Coturnix japonica: one gene and its partner. The protein of the gene in region 2 interacts with the protein of the main gene of each other region in a pairwise test. Links are inferred from orthologs where the notes say so. Each region holds a gene or a part of one and is shown on either strand. Other genes may lie near its edges. The genes, in order: RPL23 and BCCIP.

Evidence for each region.
Region 1: the proteins of BCCIP (region 2) and RPL23 interact in binary tests that used the Homo sapiens proteins (3 or more experiments, as listed by UniProt). The link is inferred for Coturnix japonica from reciprocal best matches to the Homo sapiens genes BCCIP and RPL23.

What each region holds. Positions count from the first base shown.
Region 1 is NC_029542.1:3,753,353-3,757,478, reverse strand, and holds RPL23 (60S ribosomal protein L23), read left to right. Parts: upstream 1-1,754; 5' UTR 1,755-1,871; coding exon 1,872-1,884; intron 1,885-2,164; coding exon 2,165-2,248; intron 2,249-2,443; coding exon 2,444-2,572; intron 2,573-2,750; exon of another isoform or gene 2,751-2,884; intron 2,885-3,207; coding exon 3,208-3,321; intron 3,322-3,494; coding exon 3,495-3,577; 3' UTR 3,578-3,619; downstream 3,620-4,126.
Region 2 is NC_029521.1:28,918,313-28,922,797, reverse strand, and holds the start of BCCIP (BRCA2 and CDKN1A-interacting protein), read right to left. Parts: upstream 2,913-4,485; 5' UTR 2,879-2,912; coding exon 2,762-2,878; intron 2,551-2,761; coding exon 2,476-2,550; intron 2,362-2,475; coding exon 2,281-2,361; intron 1,743-2,280; coding exon 1,647-1,742; intron 1,138-1,646; coding exon 950-1,137; intron 507-949; coding exon 332-506; intron 1-331. UniProt on the Homo sapiens protein: During interphase, required for microtubule organizing and anchoring activities. During mitosis, required for the organization and stabilization of the spindle pole.

The DNA of each region.
Region 1 (4,126 bases), on a different chromosome or scaffold from region 2:
GGGGGGGGGCTGTATAGACAGAGCCAGTTCTCAGCTTGGAACAAACGGGGGGGTCTATGGGATACAACACTGATGGATCAACGTCGGCCGATTCCCAGCGTCAGGAAAAAACCTCATCCGTGAAAAATGCGGCCCCGGGGTCTGCACGGCTCAGGAATGTCGCTGCGCGGATCGGCGCATTCCGAGACTTACTTATTTTAGAAGCTGCTGGAGCGCCCCTGAATGGGGGGAAGGAGGGGGGCGGCTCCGGGGGTCCCGTGGGGGCACAGAGACAGATCGCTACACCCTCCCCCCATCTCACATCACCCTCTCGTCGAGGCCGGAACATCGGCACAGAAAAGCTTTATTCTTAACGTGAAAAGTCTCCAAAGCGATACTGAAAGCGAGAGAGAGAACAAGGCGAACCGCACAGCTCCGGGGACGCGCCCGTTGGAACCGGAGCTTAAAAAGAAACCCCCCCCTTTTGCTAATGGGATCCAGATGGGTTCCGCCTCGTTGTGCTGCGGGACACGGAGATCGCGGTGGACGGGGGTTGGGTTAAGGGGGATTGGGGGGGGGGGGGTTCGGGATGTCTCCCCCCGCACTCACCTTATATCCAGGCAGTTTCACCTTCTCGGTAGGATACACGATCTTCCCCGCACCGGGCGCAGTTGGGGTTCATGCCGCCCCGCTCCCCCCGCCGCCTCGTCCGTCCTCTGGGCCGCCGCCCGCGGAACGAGCCCCTAAATATAGGGGGGGGGGGGGGGGAGGAAAAGGAGGAGGGCGGACGGGGGCGCGCGGGGCGGGGGCGGCAGCGCGCTCACACCCACGCGCAATCGCCCCGCCGCCCTCATGCGCGCTCCCGTGTCCCTTTGCACGCCCCCCCCCCACGGGTGCGCGGCCCCGGAACCACAGCCACGCGCTTTGCTCCTCGGGCCGCTCCACGTGTCGCATTCCCCCCCCCTCGACATACACCCGCACAAGGAAGCGACGAGCTGCGGCCGCCGCCATCCGGGGGTATAGCTCAGTGGTAGAGCATTTGACTGCAGATCAAGAGGTCCCTGGTTCAAATCCGGGTGCCCCCTCGTTGGGATTTTAGCTTTTCCCTCCTATACATCCCATCCCATCGCATCCTCAGCCGCACCGCGATGCTCCGAGGGCGGTTTATTCTCATTTAGCTCATTTAGATCAGGGGCAGCTGCCGTCAATGCTCACAACGGGGCAGTGCCATCACAGAGCTGCTATCAATGCTCATAACGGAGCTGTGCCATAACGGAACTGCCATCAATGCTCATAACGGGGCTCCACCAGCTCCAGCCCTTCAACCCCCCCCCAAATCGCTTTGCTTTGAGCCCGGCTCCATCCGTCTCCCTTCATACACCGACCTAAAGGCGCTGTGTGTGCCCTGCATCCCTTCACCCAGCTCATAGCTGCAGTTATTAATGCTAATTAATAATGCTAATTAATAACCCCAATCAATATTCAATCCCCATTCTAATATCGCTATAGAGCCCATAGGAACGCAATAAAGTCAGCTCCCATATACTAACATGGAGCGGGGGTATAGCTCAGTGGTAGAGCATTTGACTGCAGATCAAGAGGTCCCCGGTTCAAATCCGGGTGCCCCCTCTTTTCTTTTACTCCCACCCTCCGCTCTTTCTGTCTTTATTTTAGAACAAATACACCTAAAAAAAGAGTTTTTCAGCCTAATTCGCTGGCGTTGATCACTCGGTTGCCGCTCCCGGTTCTCCCGGTTCTATTTATAAACGCCTGCAGGGGGCGCCGGTTCCGCTCCGTTTCTTATCACGTGACCTCCCATCACGTGACATCCGCTTGGGGGACGTTCTATTTCCCAGCGTGCTTTGCGCGCCTCCGTCTCTTCCGGTGCCAAGATGTCGAAGCGAGGTGAGGCGGCTGCTGGGCCTAGTCGGGATCCGGTGCCATCCGCCGCCCTGCGGTGTGTGAGGGGCTGCCGAGAGGGGCGAGGAGGATGATCGGGTGGTGCCGATGATGTACCGGGTGTTGATGATGATGTACCGGGTGCTGATGATGCATCATACGGGCCTGGGCCTAACCAGGAGCGGTGTGAGGCCTACCCGGTAGTACAGGCCGCACCCGTTGTCCCATAGGCCGCAGCCCCCTGTCACTTTATGGCGGTGAACTCACTGCTCTCCTCTGCCCGCAGGACGCGGAGGTTCCTCCGGAGCGAAGTTCCGCATCTCCCTCGGTCTCCCCGTTGGAGCCGTGATTAACTGCGCTGATAACACAGGTGGGTGCCCCCGTGTTATGGATGGGACGGGGTGTAAAGCCGGCAGCCGGGGGGGGGGGGGATGCAGCCGGGGGTCCCTTATGTTGCTGCGGATGGGCAGAGCAATGCGGTATCACTGTGTTTCTATGGGTGATGGGATGGGGGTCCCTGCAAGGGGAGAATCTGGCCATGGATAATGAGCTTTTCTCTTTACAGGTGCCAAGAACCTGTACATCATCTCCGTGAAGGGGATTAAAGGGCGACTGAACAGGCTGCCAGCAGCTGGAGTGGGTGACATGGTGATGGCGACTGTCAAGAAGGGCAAACCAGAGCTGAGGAAGAAGGGTAAGGAGCAGCCGGGCCTGCTGTGTCTGCATGGCATTCCTCAAAGCATCCAGGCAGCTCCTGCTCAGTCTATCTGCATCTCATTGTCCTCCCATGGGATGGAGGGGGCAGGTTTTGCCTTGTATTCACATAGGAAAGGATCAGAAGGCAGATGTCCCCTTCGTGGAGTGTTTGTTCCGCCCTTCTCAAAAGCACTCGTTGGGTCTTTGTGCCGTGGCTCAGTGAGTTGTCGTGGAAGGGCAGAGAAAAGGGCATCGCTTTTGGGTGAAGTGGCAGCTTGTGCTGTTTGTTTCAATCAGCGATGTGACACGGCCTTGGGAAATGGGGGGTCTCCCCCTTTCCTCCCCCCCCACAAGAGCTGGAATTGCTGAGTGCCATCTCTGAGCTGACACACATAGAAGTAAGGCTGAGCATCATCTCCAAACAGAGATTTTGCCACCAGTTTTTAAGTGGAACACTGAGAAGCTGAGAATAGGAGCGAGCGAGGTGTCAGCCCTGCTGATCCTATGGGCTGCATTTTGTGAGCCCAGGGTGTAATTCAGCTCCTTGCAAAGGTGTTGGGAGGGGAGTTAAGTGTTGGGTTGTGCTGTGGGTGATGCTGAAGAAGGCTGATGTGCTGTTGTGTCTCTTGGCAGTGCACCCAGCGGTGGTCATTCGGCAACGAAAATCATATAGGAGAAAAGATGGAGTGTTCTTGTATTTTGAAGACAACGCGGGTGTCATAGTGAACAATAAAGGTGAAATGAAAGGTATGGGAAAGCAGAATCCTGCATTAAGCCTAAGAGAAACATGGGCTGGGGTTGGTGTGCTTGGTTATAGGAGGGCTTTGCTCACCTGGGCCAAGGACCTGGGTTCTATTTGGACCTGGGAGAACACAACCACATTGACTGAGCTCTGATGTGCTGTTATTTCTTTCCTCCAGGTTCAGCCATCACAGGCCCCGTGGCCAAGGAATGTGCAGATCTGTGGCCCAGGATAGCCTCCAATGCAGGAAGCATTGCGTGAACACGCGTGGAGATGGAAATAAAAAGTACTTGTACCAAAAAATGGTGTCTGCCTTGTTGTTAGGATTCGAGTTGGCTCCTGGTGGTGCTGGGGGGGATTCATGAAGCCTCAGATGTGGGTGGGTTCAGCAGGAGGAAACTGGCTGTGGAGCTGAGGTGGTGATTAGTCTTAATGAGGCAGAACCATCAGCATTTGGGGGGTGTTTGTAATTGAACTGGTCCAAATTTGGCGTGCAGTGATGGAGGCTGGGAGCTCTGAAAGGCCTTGTACACAAACTTTGTGCCTCTCCATTTTCCTCCAGGACGAGAGATTGAACAGCTCAGAGAGAAGTGATTCTGAAAGGGGGGGAAGCTACACCTGGATGTGATGAGCCCCCTGTGCAGGTTGTATGGCAGAGCACACTAAAATGATCTCTTTAGTCCTTGCTGAGGACAATACAAGGACACATGGAGCCCACTGCTGTCAGCTGAGGCGGTGGCTGTTTGCACGTGCCTCAAAGCCTCGATCAGTGGTGAAACAAGTCGTCAGGTCACTGGTTAATTGCAGGAG
Region 2 (4,485 bases):
TTTCTCCCATGCAAGAGGCCCACTAAAACAACCTACAATTAAACCAACTATTAAACCAAAACAACCGACTACTAAGAGCCATAAACTATTTGCTTCTCATCTGATTTGTAAAATTCACATTAAATACTAAAATGATCGCCATTGTTACAGCTTAATGGCATCAGAATAAAAAGCAAAAGGAGAAACCAGTGCCCCTCTGATTCGTTTTGAAACAGCACCTCATTTTGTGGTATTTTTGGAAGTAACCTTGGAAGTTTAGGTGAAACACCTTTTTTGCAAGTGTTGCAATGAAAAAATCAACATTTTAAAGTAATAGAATTGTGTACGTTACCTCATAAAAGAATTCCTCCTCTGCATTTGCAAACATTAATTCCTCCTTCTGCTGATTTCTCCCTTCTTTCCTCTTAGAATTCTTTGTGGCTTCTGTAAAGGTTTTGCTGATAAGAAGGTAATAGTGACACTTCCCACAAGGTTTGTTTGTTCTCTGCGCCTCCTTTAATTCTTTCCTGAAGATAAATAAATATTCAGGTGTACCATTTAATCATGAGTGTCCATAATTAAAAGCCTCAGCAAGTGTAAATCCCACAGTGTGTTAGTTTAGAAAGTCCATTTGTACTACACCCTTAAGTCCCTTAACTTCTCCCAGCTGAAAGTAAAAACAGACTGTAATACAAAGTTGAACTATAACATAGCTGGTTTTCTCTAAGGAAGTAGCTAAGACAGTATTACAGCACATTATTTGTAAGAGCACAGTTTGAAAGCCCAAGGGTGTTTAAAAAACTAAGTGAAACCATAGACCTTACAGATGAAAATCATCTTTTTGTTTTTACGTCTTACTGAGAGCATCAGTTCTCTTACCACAGTACTATACAAGAGATATGAAGTATTGATCATCTTCATGTTAATCACGAAATAAAACATGAAATAAAACACAGCGAAAACCACTTACTGAAGCTGCTGGTGCATGGGCAAAGCAATCTGTGGTGGTACATTAATGAACCTCTCACTCAGCAGCAAACCCACAGGCTTAGTATCATCCTTCAGGAGCTCATCCAGTTGTTCAACCACGCGCTGTTCACAGTTTTGCTCACACCGACTTAGAATCAGCTCTTTGATTTGTTCAGCACATTGTGTACCCTAGAATCGAAAGGCACACATTCTTTATGTTACACAACAACTGTTTACACAAGAAAATCACCAGCTTCAAGGGAGGATCCAACAGTCCTATAGACAGACTCCTTTAGTGGTTCCTGAAGCAATGCACAATTCCGCAACCCTGAAGAAGAGTGAAACCAAAAATTCTTTACTGACAGGAGCGCAGTGAGGAGCTACGACACCACAACATTTAATAGCAAAACTCAACAGCTGCTCAAGATGGAAGTAAAGAAATGGAAGAGTAGGCAGCTCAGCCGCCCTGGAAATACTGGTCAGATCAGTCTTAATTCTCTGTTTCAATTCTCTGACCTTCAGCAAGTTATGCAGGACTAGATCCAAAAGAAACCGAAGTGATGCAGAACTTCCAAGCCCATAATCCTCCACAGCAGGATTCAGAATCCTCATCCAACTATCACAACATGCTGTTCCAAGCAGAAAAGCAGAACACAGCCACACTTACATCAGCCCAGAAGTTAAACAGGAATACCAACCTTCCTTTCAGTTAAGTTTAGGAAGCTTATAAAACCAAAGACTTCATCATCATCAACATCATCATCATCACTGCTGTCTTCTTGTACTTCTGCTTGCTGTTTGATGAAAGAAAGAGAAATAATTCACACTGACATTCTATTTCCACTCCTTGCACTGGAATATGTTTGTTTGCTTTCCAGAAGATACATTTGTTACCTAAGAATCATATTAATGCTGGGCAGAAAAACTCAGGACCCATTCCAGGGTCCTTTCTAAAGCCCACAAGAGGAAACTGGAGGCTGTGGATGCCCCATCCCTGCAGGCATTCAAGGCCAGGCTGGATGTGGCTCTGGGCAGCCTGGGCTGCTGGTTGGTGACCCTGCACACAGCAGGGGGTTGGAATTGAATGATCACTGTGGGCCTCTGCAGCCCAGGCCATTCTGTGAGTCTATGACTCTATAAATTGCACATAACAATAAACCAGTTTCACTGTTTGGCATGGAAAATATCAGGTCCAACAGGAGAATTAATCCCCAAACAAAGTCAAGCAAGTTACAAACAGCACTGAAGACACGACTCACTTCCAGAAATGCAATGCTGCATTTCAAAGCAAGCAACGTTGTACTTAATTTACAACAGCCACTTCTGCCTTACCTTGATGATACTTCCAATATGATTCTGTTGTATCAATATATCGGTTAACTCCGCGGTGTTAACGGGAGCTTTTAGAAACAGCTGGAAAACAAAAAGCAAGGCTGGTTTAGATGCAGTACGGACAATGTGAGCTGCTGCCTCCTTGCAGCTGTTTATCCACATAAGCATCATCCCTGCTGACATGATGCACAGTACCTGCTGCAGCAGCTTCTTTATCCCGTTGTAGTCACTGTCTGATATTGAATGCGCTTCAAATTCAACATTCACTTCCTACAAAAATAGGGAAAATTAAGCGGATTTGGCGAGCAGGAAAACGGAGCCGGGGCTTTAAGAGACGATAAGGTTTGCTACCATCAGCCTGTCCCCACCCCCATTTTAGTAGGGTAACTTCTCCTACCGGCCAAACGGAACCCCCTGCTCACCCCGTCCATCCCCCTGCTCACCCCGTCCCCCTGCTCACCCCGTCCATCCCCCTGCTCACCTCGTCCACCTGCTCGTCCTCCTCGGACTCCGAATCTCCCGATTCCGGCTCCGAATCCGATCCCGAGTCCCGTTCCGGGGCTGCAGGCCTTGCCCTGCGCTTGGCCGGCGTGGCCATATTGGCGCTGTGCGCATGCGAGGCGGACACGGAAGGGAGAGCGGAGGGAGGGGAGGAGCCGGGCCGGGGCGGCCGGGAGCGGAGCGGGGCAGGTGAGAGGGGGAGATCAAAGCCCATAAGTGCTATTAATGGGTGAGCCTCAGTCGCACCGTGTTTCATGTAAGGCCCTGTGTGTCGTTAATGACGGGGACGAGTGCTAATAAAGTCGCTAGGAGGGGCCTGAGCCATGCTGCAGTGTGTGCACAGGGGGATGTCAGCTGTGTGTGTGCTACATGGATGGGGGCTGCCTTACCTTGGAGGGGCAAGTTGGGTTGGATTGGGACAAGTTGGGCTGGGTCATGTTGGGTTGATTCAGGTTGGGTTGGTTGGGTCAGGCTGGTGGGGTTGGATCACATTGGGTTGGTTGGGTTGGGTTGGTTGAGTTGGGTTGGATTCATGTTGGGTTGGATTCATGTTGGGTTGGATTCAGGTTGGGTCATTTGGATTGAGTCACATTGGGTTGGTTGGATTGGATTGGATCAGGTTGGGTTGGATTGGATCAGGTTGGGTTGGGTTGGGTTGGGTCAGGTCAGTTTGGTTGGATTAGTTCAAGTTGTGCTGGGGGATCTGAGTGGTCATTTTCAGCCTGAATGATTCTATAAGAGGTCTGAGTCCTGCAGTCCCAGGGGATTGCCAGGTCAGGGTTGGGTTTTGGGATGTAGACACCTGAATGGCAGGAATTATTATTCAGAAAAGTTGCTTGTGTTTAATGGTGTATATACAATGTTATCTCACAGGTAATCTTTCTTTCCTTCTCTGGTTATTGAACTCAGCTATTTGCTAGGAAAGAATAGTGGTAAAAAATACATAACATCAGAAAAGGGTTGTTTTCAGAGCATATGTCAGCAGTGTTTTGTAATTCACTTCCATTTCAGTTTATGACATTCCCGTTACGCTTGGCAATCAATCCTTGCTGTGCGACCTATGCAGTTTCTTACAATAAAAGAGGAGCTGGAGTTATATTAAAGCTTGATGTATTTTGCAGCTCTCAGTGTCACTCAGAAGCAGAAACAGCAGGACACATTTCTTTCTTTCTGGAAGCCATCCTCTCTCATAGAAATAGTTTGCAATTAGTTTGGAGGCAGCTTTTCAGATGGGAGGGAGTGGGGAATTGGAGATACGCACTGTAATCGCTGTTACTGAAGCTGCCATGTCTTGTGTGCTTTCTCTTAATGATTCATTGGCGATGCTTGTTGGGGTTCTTGACCCCTTAAGCGTGTTGAGCTGCAAGCTGCTGTTGTAATGTGCTGTGTTGGACAGCCATCCATGTTCCTTTGCTGCTTGTTGTATTTGCCCAAGTGTTGGGATCAGTCATTGAATTCAGCACCAGTCAGCACGTAAGGAACAAAGAACCTCCTTCCCTTCTGTGTATGAGCAACAGGTGTGAGCCCTGGAACAGGGTAGAGCAGCATGGGATAAAGGTGTTACAGCCAGAAGCACATTTCATTGCTGAACATGACTGCCTTGTAGGGGTTGTTCCTTCCTTTGCAGCTTTCTCCTTGATGACTTTCCTTGTCGCTTCTCCCTTAAGCAGCATTATCTGAAGCCAGCATGTTATTTGCTGCTCT